2 linked regions of the Lepisosteus oculatus genome follow. The protein of the gene in region 1 interacts with the protein of each later gene in a pairwise test. Links are inferred from orthologs where the notes say so. Each region holds a gene or a part of one and is shown on either strand. Other genes may lie near its edges.

The links.
Region 2: the proteins of gfer (region 1) and bnipl interact in a two-hybrid assay, tested with the Homo sapiens proteins (2 studies listed by BioGRID and IntAct). The link is inferred for Lepisosteus oculatus from reciprocal best matches to the Homo sapiens genes GFER and BNIPL.

The regions. Positions count from the first base shown.
Region 1 is NC_090714.1:12,800,620-12,816,847, reverse strand, and holds gfer (FAD-linked sulfhydryl oxidase ALR), read left to right. Parts: upstream 1-9,646; 5' UTR 9,647-9,647; coding exon 9,648-9,872; intron 9,873-10,881; exon of another isoform or gene 10,882-11,317; coding exon 11,318-11,529; exon of another isoform or gene 11,530-11,588; intron 11,589-11,841; coding exon 11,842-12,004; 3' UTR 12,005-12,320; downstream 12,321-16,228. Other genes in the region: drg2 (developmentally-regulated GTP-binding protein 2), read right to left, coding at 3,183-3,269, 3,378-3,431, 4,937-4,995, 5,694-5,782, 5,878-5,954, 6,089-6,186, 6,773-6,863, 7,037-7,109 and 5 more.
Region 2 is NC_090722.1:5,501,124-5,517,882, reverse strand, and holds the start of bnipl (bcl-2/adenovirus E1B 19 kDa-interacting protein 2-like protein), read left to right. Parts: upstream 1-10,653; 5' UTR 10,654-11,057; coding exon 11,058-11,101; intron 11,102-13,888; exon of another isoform or gene 13,889-13,970; intron 13,971-14,270; exon of another isoform or gene 14,271-14,372; intron 14,373-16,759. Other genes in the region: prune (exopolyphosphatase PRUNE1), read left to right, coding at 813-917, 1,526-1,725, 2,222-2,406, 2,970-3,128, 4,193-4,287, 4,642-4,800, 5,496-5,957. UniProt on the Homo sapiens protein: May be a bridge molecule between BCL2 and ARHGAP1/CDC42 in promoting cell death.

The sequences.
Region 1 (16,228 bases):
ACTCACGCTACTGGGACCAAGACTGGACACCACTTATTTCCTCTATTGTCCTAGATGGGACATTTGCTTTGCAGGGAGGTAAAAGACAAAACATAATACACAACATGGAAAAAATAAAGTAAACTATGCACTTAATTCTCAAAGCTTCCGTTAAAGATGAGCTCTTGTCCTGCCTACCTCCTTCCTCATGGTTGTGAAGTGGGCGGAGTCACAGACTGTCCAGCTGGTCCTCATGATCTTCACAGCTTAGATGCTCAGCCTTTGGAAAGCTTTTCAGCTTCAATCTTGTTTCTCCAGAAACAGTTAGAAGACGAAGGATTCACTGAATCAGCTATGAGTTTTCTAACAATATCACTATCATCACCATCATCTTGGTATAACGTATCTGAAACAGAAATAAAATGTCCACAGCAACTAGTGTGCCGTAGCGCCGTGAAGTCATGTGTTCAGACTAACAACACTTAGCAGCTACAGCAGAAAAGCCCGCCTTAGATTTTTACCAGTTAAAGGCGAAGACGATTAAATATTTCTTCTTGCTAAAAAAAATAAATCCTTCCTGTTTTTTAAAGTGCGGAGGAGGAACAACAGTCTCAAAATTCCCGCCTTCCTCCCGAATGTCGGAGTTTATTGGGCAAACTGGAGCAAGTCTCGCGTTTAATTGGGGACATTTACTGTCAATCAGAAGTAACTCTCTACTAACCAATCGTGACATTGCTGACCTCAATACCAGTGATCTGATTGGCTCTAGATCCTCTCATTCAGCCACAAGAGAGTTTAGACCCCAGTCACATGATCCGGGTGTTTGATATCGCACCAAACCGTCACTCTTGCGCTGCAAAACAACCTTTCTGTTTCTGTAGACTCGTGTATCACCACTGCCGACTGGTGGTCTACTATCGGAATCGTCTCCTTTTACTGTACTTCGGTTTAATATAATTTCCAAATAATTCATTAATGCTACGAGTTTTTCTTAATATCCAAATAAATCTCCGATATCGAAATAGCCCATGTCAAAACTAGATTTTAGTAGCATCTATATAGTTGCAATAATAAGTTATGAATGTCAAAATGTCTCAAATGATTCTAAAGACAGCTTTCTTTAAAAAAATGCATGAACGATTAATTTCATCTAAATGTTTTATATCTAAACTGGTGTCTGGGCAGAGTCTCCCTTTAGTTCCTTTTACCATTAGGTGTCACTACATTATATGTTCAGTAAAGTCAATGGAGTTTCATGTCGCTCTTTTTATTATTATTAGAGATGCTATTATTTAATATACCATTTGATAAGAAAGGTACTGTAGTCAAGTGCAAAGAGTGCAGGTGATAAACGTTGTCTGTGAATATCAGACTGCTGGCCTTGAACTAGTGGAAGCAGTGTGCGACAGGTATTCAGGAGCTTTAGAACTCATAATTGTGTAGTGTTATACGCTTTATACACAGACTGTACAGTAAAAAGCGTTGGGGAACCATTGTAAATGAGTGATGTACAATAATCACAGGAAAGATAATGATTTGAGTATGGAAAATATATTCCTTTTAACCTATAAAGGCTTGTAAATTAAAATCTTAAATCACTTTACCACACAATATTATTTCTCTTCCTGCATCAGAACAGCTGTCAATGCCTGCTATGATTGGAATGGTGTTCTCAGTTGATGTATCGCAAAAGAGAAAGTCAGTGCTGCAGCTCCACTATAAAATCATGATTTGTTAAGTCCTATATATTTAATTAATTGATGGGAGTGTTGCAATTTCAATTCACAAAGTAGATTGAGGCATTACTTTTCAGACATAGAATTTAGCTTCCAATATTTTTGCTGCCCTGTACTGGCTGACGATTTCTTAAAACTGTCTCTTTTCTATTGAACAGCCTCCTGTTTGGTAAATAGGCACTTAACTAAACTAGCAGGGTGACTTTTTTTGAATTGCCAGTAGAATGCGAAATAACATTTTATTGGTTTCCACTTACGGTTTTGGTTTTTCCTCATGTACTCAAACAACTTCATCACCTCCGAGTTTTCATTTTCATCCCTCGATTTCTGTAAATCCCTTCTTCCCCCCAAAATAGGGCCCCATCTTTGTTTCCTGCTGGCCTCGCCTTTTCTTAGGCACAACCCATTGCTATTTAACTGCTCTTCCTGCTTCTATCATTTGGAAAAGTCTGGGGATGGGAAGAGGGCCATGGACATCTTCCTCCAAAGTGTTCACACATCCCCTCTCAGAAAAGCCACAAACTCACAGTACACTATTGAGAGATATCCCGTTAGTGTTAATCCATGGCAGAGGAGCATTTCCAATAAACGAATACCGGGGTGTGATCCTCTTCCCCCAGGGCACTGTCAATTCAATGAGGGCTTTGTGCCTCTAGACCAAAGGACAGTGTCTGGCCTAAGTCTAATGCTGACTATTTCCTCAGGAAAGTTGAGCTGCCTCTTAAGATCGGAACCGCAAATGACTGGAAAATGCAAGCAGAAGATCCCCATTGTCCTTTGCTGCCTTTACCACACCCTCTCCTGACCTGACAAAGGGGTAAAATAAGGGGCCTGAGGAAGCTGGTCTGGATTCCCATTGGCCACCTCTAGTCTGGTTGCCAGCTGTGTCAGTATTTGTTCATGTTGACACCTGAATCTCCCACCTGACAGAAGGAGAGCTCATGCTCTAGACTTGCTGACCTACCCCCAGTGTGAATTTAGGAATCTCCACCAGCTCCCATGTACAGAGGCGGGTTAACGTGAGCAGAACTTCATAAACTGAGCAAAGCAGAAATTTGATCTTTTATTCTTCCATGTTCCAGATGTCTTGCCAGGTCAATTATCAGACATTACATCCAGTAAAAACAGCTGCAAAATTCAGTAACTGCAGTTAAAAAGATGTGAACATTTTTCATGGTGACATTCTTTTTGAGTTTTATTTGCATTTGATGCATAAGCATAGATAACATTACTGGAACCACCTGACTGAAGATCTAAGGAGGACCTGTTCTGCAGAGAGCATGATTGTATATGATCTTTAACTGTTACACAAAATAAGAACCTGCTAGGTAGGTTTTCTATAAATGCTGTAAATAGATGCACATCTTTATTTCCTGACACTGAAGTGTCCCAAGGATAATTGTTTCAAGGATTCTTTATGCTGCATCTGGCCACATGGTTATTGCTCAAAACACAGGCTGTTATATTTTATTTCTTTACAATCTGGATGACATCTTCATGTTCCATGACATGTGTGAGCCCAACTCTCTGAGGGCTGTACTTTGTGCTTGTTCCCTAAAGACATGAAGAAAAAACATTCACATTATCAAGACGAACAGCTACTCCACTTCTTATCCAAAAAGCATGCGTGAATCAATGTGCCTACAAAGCTGACGTACTTACCCACACCAGTGCGTACTTGAACTGGCTAGCTAGTGTTCTATGAATCCGATGGCACTGAAAGATAAGAAAAGGAATTAAACTGTACTCTTCAAGTTATGCATATTGTTTTAAATCTTTTTTAGAAAATTAGAATCTCTAATAAGTTCTGTTAAAACAACTCCTTCTGAAAAAGCCGTCTATCTCGGCTCTCAATTGCGATCTCCACAATGTCCCACAGGAGAGGCCAGAAATGCTCCTCTGACACACACACCTTTGACCTTGACAGAGCTCAGCCTCCTGCTGTTCTGGGGCGGTGCTGTGTGCGAAGTGGTAAAAAGGGAGAGGGACTGCAGGTGGGCAGAGTCAGGGGAGTCTGCCTACGTGTCCCCCCTCTCCCCTGTGTGTTGTAGCCAGGTTTATAGCTTTAAGCCAATAGGTTAAAAACACGCAATAGGCTACAACAAAAATCGGGTGTCTGCAACAAAATAATCCACAATTATAATTTTCTTTTAAATTCAGCGTCTGACAATTCATGACACGTCACAGGCAGCACAGCCCGGTACCGAGGGCTCAGCTCTGCAATGAGGATAGATGCACCACTCCCCTACAGTGCCGCAAGCCCTCAAGAACTCAGCAGGCTGCAGGGGTCTCTGTGCTGCTAAGAGCTGAGACAACCCTGGCCAACTAATCGCAGCCCACCCTTGGGGTTGTTCAGCCAATTGTGTGCTACCGTTTGGGGAATCTCTGTCTCAAGACAAGCAGTGATAAGACTCGGGCTTGAACCCACGATCACAGAGCTCAACGGGCACTCAGGCAAGCACATATACTCATTGAACTACTTAACCCCAAGAACAATTTCAGTTCTTCAATAAGTCCAGTCACATGAGCTCATATGAAACCCTGAATTTAAACTGTACTGGACACCAGCTTGAAATCCACAGCGCTGGCCACCTACAGACTATGTCGGCGCACAATGATTTTGCCAGATCACTACTGAAAGGACTATTATTCTTCATTCTACCCGGGAGACGGCACAAAATACTACTTTGTGCTCAGGGTTTTGCTTTTTCCAGGTTTATTTCACAGTGGCATACCATCCATTAAGAGGCAATTATCAGCTACATCCCACTTTAACAATAATTAGCCATCGTCCTCTGGAAACAGATTGTTTTATTATTAACCACAATTATAAACATAAACAATGTAGTTGTAAATATACACCACAAACATCTCCATTAAGTTGAAATGAATATTCCCTGGATAGCTTGCTCGACAACAGGTTAAAATAAACGCACAACCAGATTATATATCAGCTGGTAAACTGTGGCACCGAAAACTGAGCTATAAGGGCTGTAAACTATACCCAAGAGACTCATTTGGGAAAATGCACAGTGGCTGAAGTGTGACGTGAAACGCAGCTTGTTTTCTCTGGCAAACAGTGGTTGTTTTTCAGTTTAGACAGTGAGAACAGAAAACACTATTCCTTGGTTCTGTGCTTTCCTTGAAGGAAAAACAAAACTGGTTCATTTTATTTTAAACACCTCAAGGCAGAAGGAAAAAGACGTGAAATATCTGCTTACCACATGTTCGACACTAGCTCCTCTCCTCATGATAATTGCATCTGAGAAATCTGGTCTCTCTAGAAACAACACAAGAATGGATTGGGTTTTTAATCATGAGAAAGGTTAATATCGGACTGCACCCACGCCAAAAAAGGTTCAACAGCGATTACATCGTCACCAGCACTAGCTATATTCACACACAGGGTTTTCTTTTGATTAGAGATACGTATAGTGACATAGGTATGCATGTCATTAAATCTGCATTGTAAAAATTCACAAGGATATAAACTTCACACATACTGTGAAAGAGGACACAAGAAAATCTAGGAATTTATTTGCTGGTGTTTTAATGGACGAAGCAGCCGAAACAAAAACTCTCCAAGCATGGCAAACAGAAGAGCCCACGCTTTATTTAAAACGGGAAACCTCAAGACGCTCCACCCAAGACAATTCATTAAGTAACCCGATCTCTGATGAAGAATAGGTCACTAACGACATTTCATACAACAAAACTATGCTGTTTCGTTATCTAAACGAGCAACGGGCTATTTTATCTTCTTCTTAGTCTCCAACATGGCAGAATAAATGTATTATATAAAAAGTACATTTTTAGTAGAGAAAGGGAAGCCTATATAATTGCCTGTAAACACTGATGCCTTCTAAAACCACCACAGTCAGAGAATCAAAATTAGTTATTGCAGTGGACAAAATAGTTAGGACATTCACTGTTAACTTCTGTGTCTACTGAACAGATGTTTTAGTGAGCTAAGGATACCTCCTCTTTTCTTAGTGTAGATGCAGATGAGGGCCAGGTACTCCCAAAGTGTCTCAAGAAGGTAATCTAGATTAAGCTTCATCCCACAGCTGAAAAAAAACATGGTCTTATCAGCAAACATGAAAAAGTGCAACAATGCCACTGTTCTTTTCTGAAACAAGAAAAACGGCCACAGGATATTTACCTAATGACCACGCTATTGGGTCGTTTGGCCAAACGGTCTACCTCTTCCATCGAGATTTGGTCAATTTTATTGTACACCTGCAAAAACAAAGGTCTACACTTTTTGACAAGAAATTTCTCTAAAGTCCAAAAATGAGAGTCAATTTATTTTTTGTTGTCAGTTTGCACCCTTTAGATAAAAAAAAAAACACTCAGCACCGTTTTATACTTACGTATAAGCATGGCATATATACTCTGTTTCCCACAATTACATCGATGAACTCATCTGAAGTACAGTCTTCTCTAAACAAAACCTCTGCATTAAAGATTTCTGTGAGGATGTTTTTTAAAGAAAATGTTTATAACATGCATAAACATATTTCATATCTGTATATTGGTGTCTTAATATCTTCTGATTATTTCAATGAAACACACAAGTTATTTCTCAGTGTTATACACGGCAGTTTGTCATATTGCACCATATTAGGTCATCTAAATTGCTTTTAAGCAATGTAAATGTTTTTTTTCCCAAAGGAGAGGAAACAACACAAACATTGGGAAGTCATAATACTCATTCTGAAATGTCACTAAAACAATTTTAAACCTTATTGATGCTCCTGTATGAAATGACTACACAGTTTTATTGTATCTGTTCTGGTTCTATAATAAAAAAAACATCTTTTAAAAAGAGACCATAAACTAACAGCCACCATTAATAAAAAATTGATAAGCAAAGGTTTAATGAACAGTGTAATGTTTCTATAAATAATCTCTTGAAAGAGAAGACATGTAAATCACCCTGTATCTTAGTTCCTGTTGTTCTGGAGCAAAAAGCACACCGCTAGGGTAAGACACATTAAAGCACGCTATCACAACCCGAAAACAAGCGGATTTTTTAGGTTGACATTAAAGGATACTGTATTCATGAAGAATAAGCTGCACTAGTTTTTCAGAGCAGTGGGTAAGGGGGACTGTGGAGTTGTAGGAGATGCCTCCACCCTTCTTGGGCTGAAAAAAAAATATTACAAATCAATATCGCTCCAAGAAAATTCAGATATAAGGCTTCACTTTAAACTTATAATCAAACATGTTATACATTTTAAGCATGTTGTGGCTATTTCTCATTTACACTAACATTTGCTTTATTGCTGATCTGTACATAAGTTAACCCCAGATAATACCTTGAAATATATATTAGGCTTCGACATGTTGAGCCTAATTCCAACAGATTCCAACTCCTTTTCCAGAAGCCCCCTGTAAAAAAAATAAATAAAAGATTACATTCAAGGACTGCATTTAAACATAGGAAGACATTTTAAATAAACTGTTTTTCAGGGACACAGCATACTCGCTTTTAACTAAACTGGAGGTTTTTCATATGACGCATAAATAATTTAATTTATTTAAAAAGCAGATCACTAACCTCTGAACATCCCCTTTTGTGGCATCCAGCATCATTATGACAACATCTGCAGTTCGGGCAACAGCAATAACTTGTCTTCCTCTACCCTTCCCTGCAAAGACCAGCACCCACACACTGATAAAGGCCATGCTAGCACCAGTTACACCTACAGCCCAGCAAAATGGCTGCTCACTGAGAAGCTAGCCCAGCACTGAAAACACACCAGGGTCATCACATTGCAAATGAGATGTCTTATTAATTAAAACCTTCCTAAATTGTAAGGGATCACAAAGCTATCACTTCCAATTAAATTACCTTGTGCTGCCCCTTCAATGATCCCAGGTAAATCCAACAGCTGGATGTTGGCACCTTTATACTGCAAGAAAAAATCCACATCACCTGTTAACCAGTGTCGTGCAAAAAAAAAACCTTTTGATGTTTTTCCTTTTACAAAACAAACTAAAAAAACAAACAAAGAGAATACCTCTAAAAATATTGGTGGATTCATATTGCCATTGCATTGACCTGGATGCCAAACAAATTTAAGGCTCCTTTGTGAAATCATGTGCACCCTTTTCAAAGAAGGAAAGCAAGACAACCATACCTCAATAACTCCAGGGATACAGGTCAAGGTCGTGAACTCATAGGAGGCGGCCTCACTCGCTGTTGATGTCATAAGGCTGAGGAAGGTGGACTACGAAACAGAAACATCACATCGCCTCAATCAGAAGTTTAGGAAGTTCCTCAAACAACCTATGGCGTAATATACCTTTGTACGCCAATTCCGACACACATTATAAACCTTTCCTTCACATAGGCAGAGTAAAAACTAGGACTTTGGCAGAAAGTAGGTGCCTTACCTTACCCACGGATGGGAAACCAATCAGTGCCACCCTGGCATCGCCCGATTTCATCACATCGAAGCCTTCGCCTTTGGCGCCAGCTGACTTGGAAGGTTCTAACAGCTGGGCTCTGTACTTTGCCAATTTAGCCTTCAGCAAACCCAGATGGTACTCAGTTGCTGCAAACCCAAAAAAACAACAATGTAGTGTCAAGGAAATCTATACCTTATATCCTAAAAAATGTAACTAACATGTTTTGAAACTGGTGCTGCAGAAAACTCATTTGATGTTGCTGCACAATTACTCTCTACTATAATATTTTGGTTGATTTCTCTGTGTCATCCCAACCCCCCCATTAAAACTGTAAAAGCAACACTAAAGCAGGGGTTATTAACTTGTTACTTCCATCCCATTACAAGTCTTTGCTGTGCTGTAGATCATCCTTAATTATCAATGTTCTTCAGCGCTCTGGTTTTTTTAAGGACCAATCCTGCAAGACTTATCATAATGTACAACAATTATTATGTTCTTACCAGAACAGGGGACACTACGTAGATGTGCATTTAAAACTGAGAACACAAGGCACTGATCTACCCAAAGGGTCGTGGGAGTATGGAACAAGCTACCCAGCCATCTTGTTGAAACGGATAACTTGGATTCTTCCAGGAAACAGCTGGGAGAAATGACTGGAACAATTCACGAATAACTACTAAATGGCCTGGATGTGCTGAATAGCCTGTATTCGTCTGTATCTTTTCTCACGTTTTTGTGGCTACCCCTGCCTTAAAGGCTAACATAAATCACCGAACGTACCTTTGTTTTTCTGGGTCCGTGCAATTTCTTTTTCGATGTCTGATATTTTCTCGAGGATTCCCATTTTTAACTCCGAGGTGTCCTTTTATAGAATACTTGGAAATTAAAAAGACATGTAGCTCTGTCACGCACAACGTGTCCTGTCCGCAAAACCAGGCTCGAATTTCACAAAAGAGCGTTTAGCATTTGCAACATTTTGCAAGCCATAAAGCGGCCTGAATAATTAAACACGGTTTTTAATATATATTTTGAAAATAAATGAAAGACTGTCAATAAGGAGACAATAATATTACTTCTACACTTCCCTACACAAAGTGCATGCACAAGACAATTACTCCCTCCGGAAAAGGGAGCCACCGTAAAATAGTTCGGAGTGCAACCAAACCCGCTCGAAAGAGAATTTAGTTCCAGAGTATTTTGAGTTGAAAGTCTTTCAGCTCAGGGCAGGTAACGTGTGATAGAACCCCCTTTAAAAGCACAATATATTATCTTTTGAAAATATAGCTATATTGGAGAAATAATAGAGAACATGCTCGCGTTAGTATTTTTTTTATTTACTCAGATGACCAAATAATTATACGTTGTTACATTCTATTTTATGTACATAAAAAGATGGAGGGTTAAAATAAAATAAAATTAATGTATTTGTTGAAATGTCTTTGTTTTATATGCATATGTACAGACCAGAGATAATGCGTTATATAAGAGACATGTCTGTCATATGTCAAATATAGAATGCATCCCAGAAGCCTTTGCGCCTTGAACATGGCTGCGACCGGCGGTACGAGAGCGCCTGACCCTTCTTCAGTAGCCGGGCTTGCCGGTTTCCCGTTCGCGATTCCAGCTGTCCCCTCTGAAAAAGCGTCGGAAAAGACGGATGAACATAAAAAGAAACCTTGCAGGGCTTGCATGGATTTTAAATCGTGGATCAAAGAGCAGAGGAAACAGTCAACGCTTCAGGTGATGCAAACGAGGTTCAATTCAGTGCTACACTTGTCCGAGTCAAGACATTGGATTTAGAATGTATTCGGATCACGTTTAAGTCAGTTAATATTACACGTGGATCGTATTATTTAAATCTGCTTACTTAACTGCAGTGTTAGTATCATTGTGGGATAAACTGATCAGCTTTACAGTTTACTCTGTGCAAAATACATTTTCTTTTCTCGCGTCTTTGCAGAATTGCGGACTTCCTACGATAAAAATAGCACGATCAGTTTTCAGGTTTGGACATGGAGTTGTCGCCGAGATTTTTCTACACTACGGAGACTGAATCCCATTGTCAGGGACGCGTGAAAATGTTGAAGTTTCACGACTTTCTTTTTTTTCTGCCGTCTGCTTGCCCTTTACTTCTAGGTCTCGGAAGTTTTTACGTGTTGCAGGTCAGGAACGTCAGGAGGGAATCTTTCTCCCAGGTGCATAGCTTTGGTTAAGACGCTTAAGCAGTTATGTCTGAAACGCTGAAATATTATTACATACCTTTATTTCATCAGGATTAAGTTTACACACTGGAATATCTGCTGTCTCTAAATGGGTTAGTGAATACTGGATGTACTAAAGCCCCTTACCTCCTAACCAGATGTGTTCTGCGTGAGCACATAACTGTCCTTTAAATTGCACTGTCTCCCTCCAACATGTAGAGTTGGAAACTCCGAGGTTTAGGGTTTTCTTGCTCACGTGGAAGGTACAAAATAGTCTAGCTCCAGATGATTTTAAGCATTTTTCGTCCTCACAGTCCAGTTCTTAACACAAATTCTGCCGATTCTTCTGAGGAGCAGGTGGTATACAATGGGAACAGACCTTTGAGTCTGCCACTTCAGCTCAGAATAGGGTCTGGCTCCCCTGCGGCCCTGTGTTGATAAAGTGGATGTTTTGAGATGATATATGGGGCTGTTGGAACCCACCCACTAGGTGGAGCTGTTGTACAGAGTATGATGGGGAGACAAAATGTTAACGTGGAAAAGAACTGTTTAAGATAAGATTACTTTATTGGCCATATACAATTTCTCACATTAGGAATTTGTTTTTCCACATACCCCCAGCTTGCTCTCCATGAGACACAGACACGGAGAGAAGCTGGGGGTCAGAGCGCAGGGTCAGCCATTTATACAGCACCCCTGGAGCAGCTGGGGTTAAGGGTTACTCATCAGAGTAGGATTCCCCTGCTGGCCGCGGGATACGAACCGGCAACCTTCCAGCCACAGGCGCAGATCCTGAGCCACAGAGCCACCAATCCGCCCTGTTTATCACATATACTGAATCCGCAGTAATGGGCTTGGCGGGGTGAAGGGTATATTGACACTCTCAGACTGAAGAAGTCCATACTGATCACACCTCCAGGGAATGGAGGAGGAGGAGGAGGAGATGGGGCAGGGGGTGTAAATGACGCGGTCGTCTTTCTTCAGGAGAGCCGGGGGGAGGAGGAGAGGGAGCGTCCCGTGGAGTGCCCCCTTGATCGGGAGGAGCTGGGCAGGAGCACCTGGTCCTTTCTTCACACCATGGCAGCCTACTACCCCGACACGCCCAGCGGCAGCCAGCAGCAGGAGATGAAGCAGTTCGTCAATCTCTTCTCCAAGTTCTTCCCCTGCGAGGAGTGCGCCGAGGACTTGAGATCCAGGTTCGGGATTGGCCTCCTCCGCCTGGCAGAGAGCTGACATCCGGGGGAACGGATGCCGTCTGTTTGTAGAGAGGATTTGAAAGATGGCGTGTATTGTTTTTGTCACTTAAAATATCGACTCTGTGTTACTTCATGTAAACGATCAGTGGTATTACGTTAAAAGTTGTTGCACTGTAAGAATGACACATTTCATCAGACTCGCAGCAAGGATGGGAGATTAAGAAGTGTGCAGCACCTCGCACTGTTAAGTCAAGGCTATATTTTGACAAACACGGGCGATTCTTACTCTGTCATTCTTCCCTCCTATTGCAGACTGAAATCTAATCAGCCGGACACGAGCAGCCGGCACAACCTGTCTCAGTGGATGTGCCACCTGCATAACGAAATCAACGTCCGCTTGGGCAAGCCTGAGTTTGACTGTGGGAAGGTGGATGAACGATGGCGAGATGGCTGGAAAGATGGATCCTGCGACTGAACCAGGCCCCGCTGGGCACGGAGACCCTGAGCCTTGACTGAAGGCTGCCGCGCGTGCACGGCCCTTTCAGAAGTAGGCATCCCAGCGCGCGCCGGTCCCCTCCCTTCCTCGGCTCCGAGACCTTTGGTTTTTGTGTCCTGTGAGCTGACCCGGCTCTCATGAAAAGAAAAACGGGTCTCCGTTTCCCGTTTGACATCGTCTCTCTGCGATTTTCGTTTGACAAACGAGTGAATATTTCTCCTCTAAATAAGGCAACGACCAATTGTTCTAGCTTGTTAATTGGGGAAAAATAAAGCACTAATACCATCCGCAATTACGAATGAACCTTAGCTAATCAATTACCTCTTCAATGCCTGATTTTGATCCCTGGGACAAGTAATTCCAGTATTTGAATACGTGTCTTTGTTTTCAGATCAAATACTTACCATACAATGTAGTAGCATAGCAATATGCTCTTACTTTGGCTCAACGGAAGTCTTTAAATCCTATAATCTTATAACAGTTCTGGATTGTGACTGTACAGAACAGGGGAACACCCTGCAATAGTATCTTTAATGATACTTGAGAGAACTTAAAAACCAGAGAAAGCACAGCAGCTTTATCAGGTCAAAGGATATGATTACCAGTGGAAAGTGCAAAATGGCTGTGCTGTGTTTTCGTTGGTTTTCTGGTATTGTTTCTGCAGATACAGAGCCATTTCCTGACAAATAGTCTGCAGTATAGAAGGGTTTTCTGTTCTGTTTAACGCAAGTCACTTATGGTAGCACAGTACATCAAGCGATCAACTTACACACGCATGTATGTAGTATTCTTTCTTCCTGTAACATAACATGATTTTCCCATCTTTGTTTATAGTTGCAAATACCCTATGACCCAACAGGGGCAGCTCATAAACTTCCCTGCAAAAGGTGCGCTTCAGAAAATGACTTACTAACTTGAAATGTGCAAGTCTACCTCTGCTTCATGAATACTACAGGTTGTACTTGAACCCCGTCCCATTGAGTATGAGTTTGCAAAATATTAGCCATGTTCTCGTGTTTCTTTTCTTTTTCAGGCGATTTTAAGTCCCTTAACTCTTGTTCCACTCCCAACTTCACAGTTCTGCACTGAATATAAAATCCCCCCAGGAGCTGTTATGTTTTATATATTTTCTCTTGACAAAAGGTTAGAATTAAACAGGACCTGGGGGAGATTTTATTTCCATTATTAACTTAGGGGTGTGAGACATTTTGTGAGAGGCTGTGGATTTGAAGCACAGTAGTAGACGACAGCTCTAAAGTTTCATTGAGGAAAGAGTCTCCAATGGAGACCGTGTAACAGTGCGGCAGGGGGCGGAGCCGCGGCGAGCGCCGGTAAAGGTCGACGCCCCTTCTGAAGAGGCGGAGGCACCGGTGTGAGGTTAGCGAAAACCGAAAAAAAAAAAACCCCACAAATTAACGCTATCTAACGGGGTCCGGCCTGGGGAAAAAAGGGAGCGCGAGAGAACTCAACCCGGTTTGTCCCGGTGGAGGTACAGGGCGGGACAGGCGAAAAGAAAAACGAAGGAAAAATGCGACCTTACGCTCTCGGCCCAGTTCCCACGGGGAGGTAGTTGGTGTCTTAAGGGTCCTTAATCAGCCCTAGCAGCTGTGGTGTGCTAATGCCACACCCTGCAACATCTGAATTTTCCCTCCTTTATCAAGCTTCTCTGATGAAGCTTCCTCTGAACAACAACAACAACAACAATCTTTGCATAACGGAGAAGAATTTGGGCTGAAATGTATTCATCATGCATCAGAGCACCAGTAGGTGCATCAGTATTTCAGTATTGAATCAGTGGTTACTCCCACAGTCCAAAGAGATACTGGTAGGTAAATTGGTTGTGGTGGATGAGTGTGTGGCCTGTGATGGACTGGTGTCCCATCCAGGGTGTATCCTGCCCAGTGCCTGTTGCTTGCTGGGATAGGCTCTGCTACCCAGAATTGGACGAACTGTGTACAAAATTGGTGGATGGGTTCAATAATCGGTATAAGAGCTTAGATTTCATTACAGCCGCGCCCTTCTTCAGGAAAGCTTACAAGCACATTAACAACTGTGGCAGATTGAGCAGCAGGACCATAGACTGAACACTGAAGCAGACGTCATGGCTGAGGATATGCTGTTCATGGAATTTCAGTGATTATATTGATAAAACCTGTCAATTACAAAAAAAATCTCAAATGCACAACAGGCACATCTTAAGTCCCTGTTTTGCTTTAGAAACATCACCAGTGTTGGCAATTTGTTTTCTCAGCTATAACATACACCTTATGTTTCCAGATGAATGATGTTGAATTCTGAAACACGGCACCAAATATCCTTGTCCAATTTAAAACAAGCCTTTTGCTCCCTCCCCGTGTTTCCTCATAACAGAACTATGATCTATGTAATATACTATGAATTTTTTTACAGCATGGCAGATACCCTCATCTCAGAAATATACTGTTTGGTATTTAAAAATAAAAAATTGACATTTTTGTGTGTTTTGTATTTAAATTGTACAGTTTAGATGTGAACCTAATATGTAATGTGCATTGATGTGGTAAATGGAACTAACTGTCTTTAAAGTTACTAAATAAAATGTTACATTGTCCTCTGTATTTTTCCTCTCTTAAATCTTAAAGCAAAGTACTTTAAGAGTTACAAATACACTTTTTAAACCAAATCACACAATTAACTTTTTGAATAATTTGTGAAAGAAAAAAATCACTCAAGAAGTATTAGTTCCATTGACCAATAGAGGGTGTAGTTCTCTTATGTCCTTCGTGAAAACCAGAACTTTAAACTACAGGTGTGAATTAAATTTGATACCTATGAGCTGGAAACGTTGCACAAACGTTGAAGAAATTAGTCTTATTTAGGGAACCTGATCTTGAAAGCAAACAAGGTTTCATCTAAATCTACCCGTCATTTGAAACCCTAACTGTAACAATTAATATTAAAATATATACATGCTTCAGTTTAATTACGGAGAACAATATTAATTTAGTCATGTTTTAGTGCTCAATTTGCCTGTTAAATTTAGTTTATTTTCAGGACAGTTTTAAAATCTTGTAGACTGTTCGGCGCAGATATTAACCTTGTATATAACCACGATCTCTCTCCTCAAGTAGGTAGCTGCATCAGCATGGGTAGGCAGCAAAGGAACATGTAAGGGTTTATTCCGTGCTGAAAAGAGAAGAAAGGAAACAACGTGTTTTTTTTCTGCTCTTTTCAGCATGGAATAAACCTTTGCTTATCTATTCTCATGTTTGCGAGGCCAAATGCCCTATAGGGTTACAATAATGACGCCTACACATTGCATTGAAGAGATGGAAATATAGATTACGTACGCGAACATACATAAGCCAAATGCATCAAAAACGGCGCATAATATGCATCTCATTCAACTTTATTGTCACTCTCTCACAACAGAATTACCGAGTGTTTACAGAATGAATGCTTTTATGCAACAATAATGAAGAATGATTAAGTAATTAATGGCATATATATATATAATGAAGCATTACCTCCACGCAATCGCAGCTACAGTATTAACAGCAGGAATCCCCGTGTCTGAAAATCAATCGGCCAGTCAATAAACGTTCAAGCATTTCCTTGGAATGCATTGCAGGTCACAGACTGATCCAATTTTCTGTCAATATACAACCAGTATCCTGCGAAAAAGATGAAGACCCCTCCACGCACAATATATGTAAATATATTGTTTAATGATATTTAGGAACTGGAAATTTCAGCCTCATACTTAATGTAACTCCCATTGAGCTTAGCAAATGGTCGTCTTTCACAATTCCGCTATGACCGTCCTTCCAGCCCTCATTTCAAGACTTCCCTTGAGCCACACGAGAGAGAACTGGCCTTGAGCACACATTTCCAATCTGGGAGCGCACACGCCTCGCCTCCAGAAGTATGATGCTTCTAAAGGCTGCGAGATGAACGATGTACAGTATTCTCGTGGTAGTACTGCAGGAGGCTCCACCTAATGTCCCCCTCTCTGTAAACCTGATCGGGAAGCAGTGACTTTCAGACTGTACAGAGGTTTTAGTAATCAAACTAACGTGCTGCTCACGGGCATTCAGTCAGGGTCTATGTATAACGATACTGAGCGCTGCCGTGCAATAACAGCTCGTCTTATCTACAAGCCTAACGGATGCCCCCCCCAACACGTTGCTAGGCCGATAATACTCTTGTAGGCATTTTTTTTTA
Region 2 (16,759 bases), on another chromosome or scaffold:
CTCTCCGGGAAGGTCGGAGGTGACTGAGGTGCCCGGGACCAGCACACACCGATCGACTCCGGGGCTGGAAGTATGGGCAGCAGTGAGCGTGACTGGAATGAACGCGTTGGCAGGTGACGAAGGACATTCTCATCAAAAGCTTCTCCGTGGGTCTCGAGTCGGGCAGCTCCCAGCCTCCCCGGCTGCCCTGGGAGTGTGTGGCGCCATGGCGTGAGTGGCCAGCACCTGCGCCCCGGCCTGCGGTTAAATATAGCCCTCTGCTCCCTGTCGCCAGGCAGCCAGGCCCCTGCGGCAGTGGAGACTGGCGTGACCTGATTCCTGGCTGAGGGGGGAGGGGCATCTTGGGGGCGTGTCTTCAGCAGCTCTCCGCGTCCCCCGTCTCTGTGCGTGTGCAGGGCCCCGCAGGGCCCCGCAGGGCCCACCTTACGCCGTTTCCTCTGTCCAGACCTCCAGGCTGTGCGGCGCACCTGTCCATTCTGTAACCGATGGCCACATGAACAGAAAAGAATGTGTACGTCTTCTTAAATCGGCGTCTTGCGTGGATGAGGCCATGTTGCTGCTCGCACCCTGGTCCAGTCGCAGGGCTGCGCTGTCTGTCTGCCTTTCAGCCTGGGTGAAACCAGGATCAGCAGCCATTGACAGCGCTGCCCTGGGTGGGTGTAGCCATCTCTGACCAGGACATACGCACGTGCTAGGAAGGACCTCCTTCCAGGCCAGGGTGGGAGTCAGGGGCTGCCCGGTCGCGGGGGTTTGGGGTTGCGAGGAGCAGAGCGTCTGACCGCCGGCCTGCCTCCCGTGTGTTTCCCGCGCAGCGCAGCGCCGAGGACGGCTCCGGGGTGCACGTGGTGCTGGGGAACGAAGCCTGCGACCTCGACTCCATGGTGTCCGCCCTCGCCTTCGCCTACTTCCTAGCCAAGGTGGGTCCCCCACTGCGCGCGCCGGCTCTGCGATCCGGACAGGAACTGTAACTCCCCTCCGTTCCGTACTAACCCATGCCGATCCAAGCCATTCCATTCCCATCTGCTCCATTCCACTTCTGTTCCCAACCACTCCGTTCGGATCCACTCCATTCCATTCCCATACGCTCTGCTGCATTCCCTTTTGCTCCCATCTGTTCTGTTTTTATCAAGTTTAAAAAATTCCGGATTTGTGTCTACAGGACAGGCACTCTGGAGTGATTCCATAGGATCTGGGCTCCCTGTCCTGATTGTTTTGGAAAAGACTGGGATTTGCACACACCCCTGAGTGTTTGACATATCCAGTGATTCTGTTGTTACTTCTCTCGCAGACATCGACTGTATTCTAACCTCAACAAGAAAACTGTAAAAAGGCATGAGCAAGTTTGACCTTTCTGTTCTTTATTGGGCTGTTGGTTTCTTTGCTTTTGTTTTTATGTATTTTGTGTTGTTGTTTTTTTTGCTTCTTACTTTTTTTATTAGTCTTGTTAAAATTTTGAATTAACTTGCTAGGTAAAATACATAAAAATCCTAAAAGAAAAGTAGCATCCGTTTGTCCCTCTCCTCAGACCACTGCAAACCCGGCGGTGGTGCCGGTACTGAATATCCGGCGCTCGGAGTTCCCCCTGCGCCCAGAGAACACCTTTCTCCTCCGAGAGGCCGGCCTGCCTCAGGAGGGCCTGCTGTTTCGGGATGAAATCGACCTGCAGGCACTGCACCGGACCGGCAGGTTGGCTCTGACGCTGGTGGACCACAACATCCTGCCCAGGTCAGATGAGTGACCCAGCACAGCTGTAACACAACACCCTGCTTAAAAGGGAGCATGCACAAACAGTGCAGCAGCTTGTAAAACTGCTTTGAAATGTGATCTCATCCAAACTGGACCAGTGGTCTCTGCACTGTAGGGTTACAGTGTGACCCACCCCAGACTGGACCAGCGATCTCTGGACTGTAGGGTTACAGTATGACCCGGCCCAGACTGGATCAGTCAATCTGAGTGTGAGACTGCTGGTCAGGGTGAGCATTTGTACCGGTTGACTATTCAGGAAACCACATAAAGTCTCTTTTTCAAGATAATAGCATAATAATTCAATTATAAAACTGTTGTTATCTTAATGAGCTGTCCTCACTCACCTAATATAATATAAGCACCTTATCCAGCAGAGCCACCCAGGAGACCATCTCCTAAGTTTGATGTCTGACTGACTTCTGAGTGACTGCCGATGTAACCTTATCAGGATCCATCTGTGCTTTTCCTGCTGCAGAGCTGACGGTAGCCTGGAGGGGGCGGTAGTGGAGGTTATCGACCACCACCACCTGGATAGGGTGCCCTCCCCATCCTGCCCTCTCACTGTGGAGCCTGTGGGCTCCTGTGCCACTCTGGTGACGGAGCACATCAGCCAGAGAGCGCCGGAGGTCCTGGACAGACAGGTGGCACAGCTCTTATATGGTAAAGTGATGCTCATATAGCGCCTTTCATCAGCATCCCTTCTCTCTCCACATTTTCTCATTATTCTAGTTCTCAGAAGGGGCAGCAGGGCGGCACTGTGGTTAGCATACTGCCTCTCAGCGCCAGAGCCCTGGGTTCAATTCCTGGGGTGCTCTATCTGTGCGGAGTTTGCATGTTCTCCCCATGCTCGCGTGAGTTTCCTCCAGGCGCTCCAGCTTCCTCCCACAGTCCGAAGACATGCTGGTGGGTTAATTGGATTGGGGGGAAAACTGTCTCTAGCGTGAGTGTGTCGGTGTCTGCCCTGTGATGGACTGGAGTCCCATCCAGGGTGTACCCCACCTTGCGCCCGGTGCTTGCCGGGATAGACCCCAGCTCCCCCACGACCCCAAATCCCGCATTTAAGGACTGTCTTAAAACAGTTGGTAATCCCAAAACTCGTGCGAGTATGCAATAGAAAATAATTTGCACCTCCAAAACTTTCCCCCCCCCCCCCCCCACAAAAAACGCTACAATCAGAAGTCGGAAGGTGTGGAACCAGCCCGACCCGGTCTCTCTGATTCCAGGTACCATCGTCCTGGACTGCGTCAACATGGCGCCCGAGGCCGGGAAGGTGACGCCCAAGGACAGCCAGTACGTCGCCCTGCTGGAGGCGCGCTTCCCAGACCTGCCCCCCAGGGGCGCTCTTTTCGACGCGCTGCAGAACGCCAAGTTTGACGTGTCAGGTACTGCCGATTGACCCTCGGTCTCCGCTAATGGCGCAGGTAACAAGTCCAAGTAGGTGAGGACGAACCCCAGAAGTCTGGCGCCACGCACACAGGTCCAGCTGCGAAACTGGGCAGGATTGAGGCCCCGCCTCTCACCCAGGACAGCCAGCCGATTTCCGAAAAGGGTGGTTTTCACTGTTGTTTCAGGAGACATGCGACTGAAGAGCCACCAGTTCTCCCGTGTGTTTTAGAAAGCAGTGGTTTCAGGGTGATCCTTAAATCCTGCTGGGTTGAGGATCTCCATGAGCAGGACTGGCCCCTGCTGTAGGGGGTCCAGACAATTGGGGGCCCACCCTGGCAGACATAGGGCAGTGCCAGTCTGTTGCAGGGTGCACACACACAAACAGAAGGACAACTTACAGGTGCCAGTTAGGCTTAGTCTTAAAAACATTAAAGAAAAATATTTTCACAAACTTGGCCAACCTATTCTACTATTGAAACTATGCCAGTAATTTTTTTTTCCCACAACAGACTAGTCAGTCCTGAAGTGCAAGAAAGAGGGTTTCAGTTTCTCCTAAAACCAATTTCCCCCACCGCAAAGATAAAGTTTTGACTAGGCTGCCATCTAGTGGTTAAGATGATGGGGTTTCCTGTCGCTGTAATGTAGGACTCACCTATTTTGATGTAGCAGAAACTGAGTGACCACACCATGGTCAGCTGAGAGGCAGCTTTCTTGCGCAGATAGCCAGGTTAGCTTGGTCATCCAGGACTGAAGAGTCATACAGCCTGGACCATGTGAAAAAACTGTTTCAGAAAGCGTGCGACCCATTGCAGAAAACGTGTCAAGTTTACTCATGATATTGCTACACACCCCCAAATTCTTAAGAGTACCATTCAGATCCTCCCTGACCTTCTTTTGATGAGATCTGCACACTGGGACAGTGGGTTGTGGATCTGATCTCTGACCCCGTGCACTGCGCTGGCTGACCAGCAGTGTCCCTCTAAGTCCCTCTAGAGGTCTGACCTCTGACCCCTTGAAACTCACTGACTGACCGGCAGCGTCTCCGTGTGTCTCTCCACAGGGCTCTCCACGGAGCAGATGCTGCTGAAGGACATGAAGGCGGAGTCCGGCGGCGATGTGTCCCTGGCCGTCAGTGTGGTCTATGTGATCCTGGAGGTAGGTGGGACCCTGTCGCTCCCTGCAGGCGATTGCTGTCTTCTTAGTGCTCTGTTCTTTGCAGTCTGAAAACACGTAATATATAGGATGATTTCCGAGGGAGAGAAGGGCTTGAGACTTGAGGACTTGAGAGAGACATGAATTTAATGTTTAATTGAAATGACTATCTGCGATGGACTTGAAGACCTTTCATTGTAAAAGCGTCTTCCGACTAAAAAAAGTCAGAAAAGCTTGAACGTTTGTTGTAAAGGCACAGGCTATAATGGGGAACTATTCATTAACAATCGAAGCAGATACTCAAGATTGAACTTAAATGCTTTTTTATGAATGTCATTGTGAATTTCCCCTTCCAAGACTTTCCTGCAGAGGCCTGGTCTGCAGCAGGAGCTGTGTGAGTTCTGCCACAGACACCGCTACAGCGTCCTGGTTGTCATGACAATCTCCTTCAATGAGAGAAAGGAGCCCTTCCGCCAAATCGCCGTCTACAGTGCCAGCACGGCTCTCAGGGAGCAGGTGAGCCCATAGAAACGGGGGTCTACGGTCACCAGGACCCCTGTCCCCCAGGGATGCCGGAGGCCTGTGTGGTACCCCCTGGAGCCTGGGGTCACTCGGGTCCCTCACTGCCCAGAGAGGGGTGCCTCCTCCAGTCACATGGGGCAGACCTTCATGGTATTCCCTAGGAGCTTGTGTCCCTCAGGGTTGCCTCCCACAATGCACCAGAGCTTTGTGTCTCCACAGGGTCGCTCACTCACTGGGACGTTGGTGCAGGATGGAGCCAAGGGGATGACCAAGATCACAAACTTTCTCACTGCAGTTTGTAATCAGGATGCTGTTTCGTTCTAGGGAAACACAACTGAGCACTTTTCCCTGCTCGAGAGACATCAGGAGAGCGTTTGTACCCCAGTACAGGCCAGAGCAGAAATGAGGTTTCCCCAGAGCAGCATAATGCATAAAACCAGAGCATGTGGGCATTTCTGGGCACACAACTTCAGCTCTGTGGTCATTTCTGGGATGAAGAGATCAGGGGATGCTCTCAGATGGCCACACAACAGAGACTTCTGTAGGCTGTCAGGAGCCTGTGAGGTCATGTTCCTCTTGTCACTGTTCGAGCTGTTGGACGTGTTTTAAGTTGAGCCAGCGTGGGGTGGTGGTGGGGGTTTGCAGATTATGTACTGATGGGGACTCGTGTTTGCTCCCCTGATTTGTAGGTGAGCCAGGCCTTGGAGAGAGCCCAGAACCCTGACCTGAATCTGTCGCCGATGAGTAGCCCCTACGCGGACGTCAAGGCCTACCTGCAGGGTAACACGCTGGCATCCCGCAAGAAGGTGATGCCCATCCTCAAGACCTTCCTGAGGGGGCTTGAAGGGAGAACCAGGCATTATGGGGAGGTGGAGGACCTGGGGGAGCTGGAGGACCAGTTCGACCCCTCGCGCTGCCCGCCCTTCGAGGAGGACACCCGCCTGCGATGGTGCTCCGCCTCCCGGCGTCACCGCCACCCGACCCCCGAGGAGGAGGACTCCCAGGTGCCGCCCACGCCGATGAACAGCCTGGTGGAAGGGTGCCCGCTCGACAACGGACCGCCCAGGTTCAGCGCCGAGGCCATCCTGGAGAAGTTTGGCAGGATGGCCGAAGAGAATTCAGAAGAAGACGCTTCCTCGGGGGGGCCGTAGGGGATGCGAGCGACTTCTAAAATATTACAGTTTGTCCACTTCCCCTGCCATCCCACTCCCCACTCCCCACCCCTCCCGCTTGCCCCCTGTCACCACCGAATTACCCGCTTCCCCTCCTCTCTGACAGGACGACCGTGCAGTATTCTGAAAGGACGAGACTTTGTCCCCTGAGGAGGATGTGTGAAGGAGAGCTTCCAGCAAAATACAGACAGTTTGACCGCCCCGTGGCCGAGAGACATCACAGGTTCGAGCCTGGGTGCTGAGAATAGCCGACTGCGGCCAGGAGTCTCCCCAGCGTGGACGGGCACTGCCGGGGGAGTGAGGTGGGGGGGGGGGGTGGTCCGTCGCTCGGCGCTGTCCCGGCTTTCGGCACAACGATGGCTCCTGGGACTTGCCAGGCCCGGCTGAGCATTGGCGAGAGATGGCGGCTCTCCCATCAGGCCGCTGTGGAGCTCGCGGCGTGTCGAGCGTCAAGCGAATGAGAGCTGGGCACGTTGGGGCAGGTTCTCGTCCTCCGCCACGAGCGGGGCGCCTGAGTTGTAGTGGTAAAGCTGAAGTCATCATCACGCAGGTTGGGTGTCGTACAACTGAAGGTTCCAAATTTTAATGCAAAGTTGGTGTGGGAGTGGGGAGTCTGCTGGTCAGGGGACCCCTGATTCTCTGTGCCCACACTTCCCATGCCCGGACGGACCTGCGAGCTCCACCCTCCCTCCCAAAACGCTCGGAGCCGTCGAGTCTCCCGTCGAAAGAGGAGCAGGCTGTGGCGTTTCACCCTTGGGCAGGACGACACATTCACGGCCCATCCGGGCGTGACCTTCTGGCAGGACCTGCTCTTCCCGGGCGGAAAGAGATCCCGGACCCGTAGGTGCTCTCGGGGATCTTGAACTGTTATCCGGAGGGACAAGGAGCACCACTTTTTTTTCCCCTCATGTCGTCAGACATTTCACAAGAAATCTCACATTGCAGAAAAGAACCACTTCGTGTTGGAGGCTTGAAATCCGCTGAGCCCGGTTTCTGAAACCTGGATTTCATTTCCTTGCCTAGAGTTTATCAGGGCCCAGAGCCGGGAGCATTTGGGAACATATTCCTGCTTTGCGAAGGACATTTTGTGACCCCCTTTTTTTTTAAAGACTCTCAACATGGGAAGAAGAAGAATGATGGTCTTTGAGTCTTGACGCTGACGTTTCCCGCTTTTGGGGTACCGGCTATTTGGGCAGAAAGTGGGGGTCTGTGGAGCCAGTGACCTCTGCCCACACCAGCCCCTTGCTGTTATACTGCAGTTTGCTGCTGTGATGGGTCCCAGGGCCGGCACAATGGGTACAGGTACCAGGGGGCCTTGTCTAGTTGGGGGAATGTGTACCCTTGTACCCCCCAAAGCCCATACGAGAAACATCCAGGGCTGTCCAGAGTAACACATGGCCACACGACCCCTGTAAACACTGCGCCGGCTCCAGTGGTTTCCAAATAGAGTCGCACAAAATTAACTTTGCTTTTTATCCGGCGTCAGTGCCTACAGATGTAAAACCAGCCTCTTTAGTTGTGCGTGTTCTTGTGAGAGCTGCACCCCAGGCCTCACAAGCACATGCATATGTGTGTGTGTGTGTGTGTTTTTTGTCAGCTGCTTGGCGGTGATTTATGCCAATAAATCTCCAACAGGAATCCAAAGATTTTTCCCAGCTCCCCCTCCTACTCCGCTTTCCCGGGTCTTTCCAGCTGACATCTCCGAGGAGAGCTGTGCCCACACGTTTGCAAGAATTTTCCAAAGGGTCGGGCAACGGCCAGTTCCCGCGTCAGACTGGTTGCCCACACAACCAGTGTTTGGTACCTAGATATGCAAAAACCCCGGAATGACAACAGTCCGTCCGTTTTTTTTTTACCTCATGAATGCCAAGGCCAATTGTATGGAATGGTTTGGACCCTGAAATCTTGAAATCAATACAGTTCTCTTTAAAAAAATGAATTGTGTTGAGTGTCATTTGTTGCTTTCGTGCCTTTTCTTAAAAAAAAACTCACTTTCATTCACCAGTTTTAACAGCTGCCGCAGTTCGAAAACTCTTTATAACCCAACGACCGGTCCACCCTTTGGACCCTTTCAGGGTCACTTAGGAGCCGCAGCCTGTCCCAGCAAGCAATGGGGACAAGCCAAGATGCACGTTGGGCAGGACGCCAGTCCATCGCAGAGCAGACACACAGACACACTCCCACGGCAGCCTACTCTCCCAGAAGCTAATTAGCCCCCCGGCACGTCTGTGGATCGTGGGAGAAAGCCAGAGCACCAGTAGGAAGCCCATTAGAACATGGGGAGACCATGCAAACTCCACACAGATAGCAACACGGGCTAGGAATTGAACCCAGGGCCCCAGTGGTATGGCAAGGCAGTGATTCTAAACCCTGTGCTAACCTCCCTACAACCAGTTTTAGAGTTTATAACATGATAGAGTCTTAACAACCTGGGGAAAATGAGCACCGCTGATGCGTTAGGGAGTAGAAAAGGCAGATGCTCCTGTAAAGGTGCCTTTTTAGTGGATATCTCAGGCTTTTTTTGTAACACGTTGGTAAAGTGTGATCTGCAACCCCAGAAAGACACTGGTACTGGTTTTATTAGTGAAAAGGCAGACACAGGAATGTGTGCACCCACACACACCTGTCTTCGGGGACTCAGAATTATGTTGAAAGCAGTCTAATAAATGAGATCAAAATTTGGAAAAGTGAAAATTAGCATGAGGTAGTAATTGGTAAATGCGTCTACCCAGCCATTTCCAAAATAACACATTTTGTGTCCTAACAGCCTGAATTCACGACTTAAATTTAAGATTAAGCCAAAATTCTGTTTACCTTTGTAACATACAACCTCATAACATAACTCAAAACATTCTGAAAAGTAATTACAAATGAAAACCTAGAAAAATGGGTGGGATAACCGTACACACCCCTGAGTTAGTACTTGTTGGGATCATCTTGGCTTGAATTAGTCATAACTCAGTTCAGATCGGTCTGTACCTATCTCTTGAAAAAGCTTTATAAAAGGACTCCCTCTACAATGAGCATGTGGTGTGGTTGTGCCTACCATTTCATGACGCGTATTGTGTCAAGAACATATCCAACCTCATTATCAAATCGCCGGCTTATTTGACTTCCTGAAAAAAACACCCTGCTGTTTCTGTGGAAAAACAAATTTCTCCGTAGCTGATAAAAGAGGCTTTAACTGCAGCAGATGAGATAAACCCACGTTCCGGTTAGCACAGAGTTTTGTCATTTGAATTAAAACTGCTTTGCTAAAAGGTGGGGTTTTCAAGGCCGGACTATTGCACACTAGGAAATGTGGTTACATCTGCATTCGAACAAAGAAGTGTTTCTGTGAAGAAAAAGAACTGAAAGTGACTCTGTGAAACTGTTTCTTCCCACCAAGAAGCACTTCGAAATAGCTGTGGATCTCTCAAGTGTCCACAAGGGGGCAGGGTGACAGAGGAGATTCAAGCCTAGTGTTATAATAATTAATAATAATTGCTCACACTTATATAGCACTTTTCTAGACACTCCACTTATAGCACTTTACAGGTAATGGGGATCTCCTCCACGACCACCAATGTGCAGCCCCACCTGGATGATGCGACGGCAGCCATAGTGCACCAGAACGCTCCCCACACACCAGCTCTCAGTGGGGAGTAGAGCAGAGTAATGAAGCCAATTCATATATATGTGGATTATTATGAGGCCATGATTGGTAAGGGCCAATGGGAAATTTGGCCATGCTCTGGGGTAACACCATTACTCTTTTCAAGAAACACCCTGGGATTTTTAATGACCAAAGAGTCAGGACCTCAGTTTCACATCTCATCCGAAGGATGGCGCCTGGTTACAGCATAGTGTCCCTGTCACTGTACTGGGGCATTAGGACCCACATGGACCACAGGCTGAGCGCCCCCTGTTCGCCCCACTAACACCTCTTCCAGCAGCAACCTTAGTTTTTCCCAGGAGGTCTCCCATCCAGGTACTGACCAGGCTCACACCTGCGGAGCTTCAGTGGGCTGCCAGTTGTGAGTTGCAGAGTGATATGGCTTCTGGCCTGTTCATCCCCCATAGCAGTGTCCTTTAGGTAAGAGATTGGTGCCATTCCTTGCAGACGATCTTGGCGAAGCTGTGAAATGGTTGTTAAAAAAGATCTAAAAGCGACAGATCAAACTGCAGGATGAGCAGAACTACAGGGGCTTTACTGTTGTACCTCCTGGTCTCTCTTAGACTGGGGGGATAGAGGATGGGGTCCATAAGTACAGCTACATACATGCTGCATCTGTATCCTGAGATCCAGTAAGAGTTAAGCCTTGAGGCTGTCTTAAGTGACACATTAGCCAGGTCTGCTGTTGCTTTCTGTGACATTTTGTGAGGTCAGCGCTGAGGCAGAAATGCCTGATCTGCTATTAGTTCACAAACTTCCATAAAATCACACGAGCATCAGAAACAGCAGGATCACCTCCTGCTGGGCTGTTCCCAATGATCTGGATGGGCTGGATCACTCCCATGAAGCTCGACATCCTCCAGTATTTTCCTGGGGCAGGAGCATGAGACAGAAAGCTGACTGCTGAAGAGACTTCCCTAATAAAAGCTGCTGCGCTTGCAATCCTAGCTGTGGTTTCCAGAAAGCAAACCGCGCGGCGCTGTCCTGCTCTGTAGAGGCTGGGCTTTAGGACCTTGGAGTGGCCCTAGCAAAGCCCCAGTCTTCCTTCCTTTCTTATTCCATTGTTGTTGTTGCTGTTGCTGCTTCACGAAGAAGAAAGAGACAGGGGGGCAGGTGTGTTCAGCCAATGAGAGCAGCCCGAGCCCCAGGGCTGCGCAGGTAGAGAGCCAAGAGAGACGGGCTCAGTGTCACAGATTCAGACTCGTGCAGGGAGCCGGGTGGACGAGGCGCCACTGCTGGGAGGAGACAAGAGGACCGGCGCGCAGAAGCAGAAGAGGAAGGAAAATAAAAGAGCGTTTGGGCTTTGGGCCGGTTTTTTGGGGGGAAGAAACGACTCACTAATGCCTTGATTTATCATCACCATCGTTATTTTTCTTCTACTAAGACGAGCTCAGACCCGTTGGTCTTGCCTACAGGGCGAAGGGATGGGGACGTACACAGATGTGAAAGACCAGTTTGCACCTCACGGGTAAGTCTTTGAAATAAAATTGCCTCTCCGCATGTCACGGCCTGCCTCCTTGTCCTGGGGGCGCAAGGGGAAGGTTTCTGGCCGCCCCGCAGGGGGCCACGTTAGAAGGGGGGTCCTTACCACTGGGTGGCTTGCCAAGAGGACAGGGATGTGGGATCACACTCCTCCAGGTAGAGACCGAGTTTCCCCAAGGCAGGAGCACCCAGTCGTTAACTCCCGGGTTTAAAGCGCCAGGCCGCTCCGAAGCCGACGCAGGAGAAGAGCAGGAAACGTTGCCTGACCCAGACGGGAGACACCTGACTGGAGCGACCTGATCTACGGTCATCTCCACAGGAGCGTGTTGTTTATTCCATCGTGGGGGGTGGCGGCACTTGATTAAGGGGTTACGTTTTCCAAACTGGGATCCAGGATGATCCAGGAGTCCCTCAGAGAAGCCCAGAATTGTTTTTTCAGCAGTGTGTGTGTGTCAGCTCCAGGATCCTATTTCTTCATCTTTGGCAGTTAAAGTTGCTCAAGCAAATAAACCATGCTGACATCTTACATTTAATTTGCCTTCCACCTTTCTGTGGCAATCTTTAAGTTACCTGACCTATCTAGTAGAATCCTATCTAGGGCATATGCTCTCAGTGGATCTTACAGAACTGTACTGTACTTTTACCCTGATCTCACTGGGCCTTACTGCTCTGTACTGTGCTTTTACCCTGATCTCACTGGGCCTTACTGCACTGTACTGTGCTTTTACCCAGATCTCACTGGGCTTTACTGCACTGTACTGTGCTTTTACCCTGATCTCACTGGGCTTTACTGCACTGTACTGTACTTTTACCCTGATCTCACTGGGCTTTACTACTCTGTAATGTGCTTTTACCCTGATCTCACTGGACTTTACTGCACTGTACTGTGCCTCTACCCTGATCTCACTGGGCTTTACTGCACTGTATTGTGCTCTTACCCTGATCTCATGGGCTTTACTGCACTGTATTGTGCTCTTACCCTGATCTCATGGGCTTTACTGCACTGTATTGTGCTCTTACCCTGATCTCATGGGCTTTACTGCACTGTATTGTGCTCTTACCCTGATCTCATGGGCTTTACTGCACTGTACTGCAATTGTATTTAACGGCAGTGGGCTTTAAAGCATTTAATTCGGCTTTTCCCATCATCATGATGAAATAACTTGGAAGTAAGGGGGCAACTGCACCATCTCATTAAGGGTGTCCCCAGCCTACTCCAATCCAAACCTCCCCACTTCTCTCAATCCAGCATGGGCCAGGAAATGTCTCTCTGCACTGCGTGGCGTCAGATTCAGTAAAAACAGTGCCTCTTGTCCTCAGTCCTCTTTCTGCCCGGATTTCCAAAGAGCCCTGGTAAAGCATAAGGCTTGTAGCTGGTCCCTCCTGCAGAAATCCTCTTTCCAGAAGCAAACCCTCCTCCGGTAAAGAGGGGATCCACAAAACTTTGGTGACTGTACGCGGTGTTTCAGGTGCTCAAAGATGGGCACCCAGGCCTTCCTCTGTACCGCGATGATAAGCCTCTGAGAGGCCAGTCGTGCCTCTCCTGACGGCAGACCCAGATACTGCTGCCTGGGTCACACCCAGCACAGGCATGTTCCTGGCAGCTCCAACCTGAAGCTGCACCTTTGTCTGCTGTGTCGTTTCTGCAGTGCACTAGTCACACCACCCAAAGGAGAAGGGTTCACACTGTGCCGGTCGGGCTTCTCCATTACTTGCAGTGCATGAGCTTGCTATATCAAAACCAGTGCCTGACCTTCACAGTACAGAGATCTTGTGACGGTGCCTGTGATGGTATGGTTACCAGGACAGTTCTCATACAAAAGCCTGGTTGTCTTCAACCAGGCCAGTAAAGGTTACCATTCCCATACCTAACTCCACAGCTGCTCCCAGTGGGCCTGCTGTTGATACCCGAACCCTGCAGGACATTATAATGGGTCACAGACACTGTAAATGAAGGGTGCGCGAGGCAGGGTTGGACCTTAGTGTTTGGTATGGGTATTGGTATTTTTTCTTCCAGTTGGGCTAGGCCTCTCCTGTTCTAGTACTGTTTTGTAAAGCACTCTGTGTTGTGAAAGGCACTGCATGAAACAGAAGTATAATGCATTAAGGTCAATGAATCTTGGGGAAAAAAAAATATATTTTTAGCCCTTAGATTTCTTTTGAACATGAAGAGAAAGTTAAAAATGAGCATCTACCCTATGCCAGACGCCAGGCTTCAGAATTCCTTTCCTTTAGGCCTTATTGTTCAAAGATTTTCTCCAGCAGGCTGTACGGCACGTGGAATAATCAGAGCGTCTGTCACAGTGGCAGGATTACCTTTTTCTGCGCATCTTTAATTGATGTCCAACTCATTGATCGTAAAGGAAAACTACCGCTTTTAGTCAAGTCGAATCCGAACTCTGTCGCCACACTTCACACACAAATTAGATCTATAAAGACATTTACTGCTGACCATGGAGTGTGGCTGTTTAAAAACCAATTCAATATTCTTTAAGCTTCATTAATCAAGAGCTCTGCTGGAACAAACGCTAATGGGCACAGGGACACTCCAGGGCCAGGACAGGGAACCCCATGTTAATGTACATGACTTGGGGGGGGGGGGGTCCCCAAAGGACTTGAGGAGCAGAGACTCCGTGGAGTCAAAGTCATCACCAGCTCGTGCAGCTGTTTCATCATGAACAACCCGGTCTGGCCTGTCCTGCTTCCTTCCTCGCTAGGACTTTGCAGGAATGTGATGTACTTGAGTGTCTGTCGGAAGAATGTGCCAACTCACCTTGCCGGCATGACAGACAGGTCCGATCAGAAACAGAGGTGTTTATCTCTGCTACGTCTTCCTCATCCATGACCCCCCGGGGCTGTGAAGAGGGAGAGAGCGTACGATGAGCATCCTTATTTCCTTAATATTTTCCTTATAATTTTCTGGGTTTTCTTTTTTACGGGCATGGAAAGCCCTACAACACCATAGTGGTTCATTCAGACTGGATTGTGGTGCAACAGAACAAAACAAAACCAGCAGAACTTTACCGGCGGGCTGAGAGCCAATATGTACAGTATCAAGCATGGCATCAGCCCCAGCGAACAGACGCCACTATGACATCTAAAATGTCCTAGTGACATTCTTGCTGAAAGGTAGACTGCCTTCACCCGAGCCCTACCTCTCCCAGCCTTTACTTGTGCGAACGTGTCACACGTGACCCTAGTGACCTCATTGACTCCATCAGGGTCAACCAAGCGATGACCTTGATCACAGCGAGAAACTGTAGAAGAAACAGATCAAGTGGGTTCTGGGTTAGGGTTAGGGAACAGACGTCTGGGTTGCAGTTTAATTCCCCTTAGCTTGGAATCCTCATCCTCAAGCTGGTACTTGTACCAGCTTTGGCAAAAAAAGCGTTCAGGCTTGAGGAGAGGACAGATGCAGCTCCCAGTGGCATCACTGCAAGCTTGCATGCATCCGCATTGGCCACAGGGGTGGCGCTGTTGAGCCACAAACCGAGGATACCCCTGCCCGACTACTAGTGCATGTGACTCTGGCAGCTTCAGCACAGTGAATGCAAGTAGCATCTTACAGGGCTCCTCATGCACATAAGGGGCTCCCTCACAGTCTGAGGCCTTGGATAACGCACACACAGGATGAGGTAGCCTGACAGCTTTCGGATCCCGACTACGGGTGGGTGGAGAGGGGGGTAAACCTTTGCTCACTCCCATACACACCCGTTACTCTTTGCGTAAAGTACTGCCTCCCACACTGCCGCCCTGACCTCCCCTGCATCTCCTCGGACCCGCGCTCTCGTGGCGGAGCCCTGCGGCCATGTCGTGAAGTGCTTGTCCGCAGGTCAGCTGGGGATTACGTGACCGCGCACACTAGCCTCTGCAACTGGCAACTACCCTGAACCCCCCACCACCCCCCCTCCTCCTCCTTCCAGCCTCCCCGAATTTCCGTATCCTCTCGACTTCCCCGGTAGTGACTGCTGCCTCGGCGTGCCGGGAAGACAGTCTTGTCTCGACAGGACCATAGGTGTACAGAGCGCATTCCAGTCAGAAGCCGCCACCTTGCGTGACTCATGCTGCGGCCTGACCAGCAGACAGCGCGCGAACTGCAGCCGGCCCTCCCTGCGCCTGCCGAGACTGGTCTGAGCTTTCCAGCGCTGGGGAAAAAGTCCTGCTGAAACAGTAAGGGATGGCAGTAACTTTCACTGGGCAAGAGCTTACCCTTCTTTTGAAAATGCGGAACACAAGGGCGGCCCGCAGAGCCACAGTTCAGCGGGGTTTCACACGTCATCCCTTCAATCACCTGTTTATAAAGACCTGGCGCACGTGTGGCGCACACCGATCAGATGATCAGTTTAGCAGATGAATTGATTCGGGGGGTCAGTCACTTTACATCAAGGGGGCCCCCACTCCAGGCCAGGAGGACTACTGCACCTGAAGGGCCTCCACTCCAGCCCAACTCTTAATCATCCAGTTGAGCTAATTACGGCCTTAACTGGAGCACTTTAATAGCTCAGGTGCAGCTGTGAGACCTCATGGTCTGGGGTAGAGCCCCTGTTTCACATAACCACACTCACAACGGATGGTTTGTAGCAGCCGAGTTTAGGCCTGGATGTCCTCCTTGCCCTCCGACATCATCAGTAAGATCTCCCAGAACAGTCTGGCACTCGGCTGCAGTGAGTCGTCCTTCTTTTTTGTTTTTTTAAAGGCCTGTGCAGTTGTTCAGCTATGATTGATTCCCTGCTCTGGGGCATCTGGTTTCTTTAAAGAGGAAGTTCAGCTACCGACGAGCAGACGCGTAGAGGGAACTTTCAGAACTGGTCTGGGTTTTCTTTTTTCTCCGCTTGTAAAAATAAACTCTTAGATAGGAGTCAAAAAAAAAAAAAGAGGGCAATCACAGGTTTCCCTGGACTGTTTTCTTTTGTATCTCTGCTGGAGGAGGTGAAAGGACCCCTAAGAGAGGCTTTACAAGCCAAGCACACCACACACAAATACACACACGTGCCGATCAGCTGTTTGCGAACCGAATGACGTACATCAATTCATTCCTGGACCGAGAGGAATGTGTTCGGTTTAAAATGGGATGGGCAATCCTGTTCTGGCACAGCCGGCATGTCTGCATCGCATCATTCCAGGCTCAGCTCCTAACGAGCTCATTCAGCTCGTTATCGCCCGAGTGGAACCCATGTAACGAGTTCTCCCAGCTCTTCGGGTGCTGCGGGACCAGGAGTCCCCCCCACCCACCCCACCCCCACCTGCGCTCAAAGAACTGAATCGCTTTAGCTTTTGATCAGCGAAGGGGCTCCTGCTTAGACCCTTAGGAGGTGTTGTCAGCCTTGCACAGTGTGGCCTCCCTGCTGTTCCCCTCTTGATTCACCTTTCTCTCCTCCCCCTGGGGTGAGGCTGCTGTGTCTCTCCCAGGTGGGGGTGAAGTGGGTCCCCTGCTATGTGGAAACAGCTCAAGTACCCTTTGGGATGAAAGATACTTCACAAAGGCCGGGGACGATGAAATGGGCACGCTGCATCGACATGTACATCAGCGCCTGTGGTGCACTGGTCAGCGCTCTGAAGCGGAAACTACAAGGCAGTGGATTTGAATCCCAGCTGGGGATCTGCCATTGTGGACTTGAACCAGGCACTTCATTGAGGTGGCTAC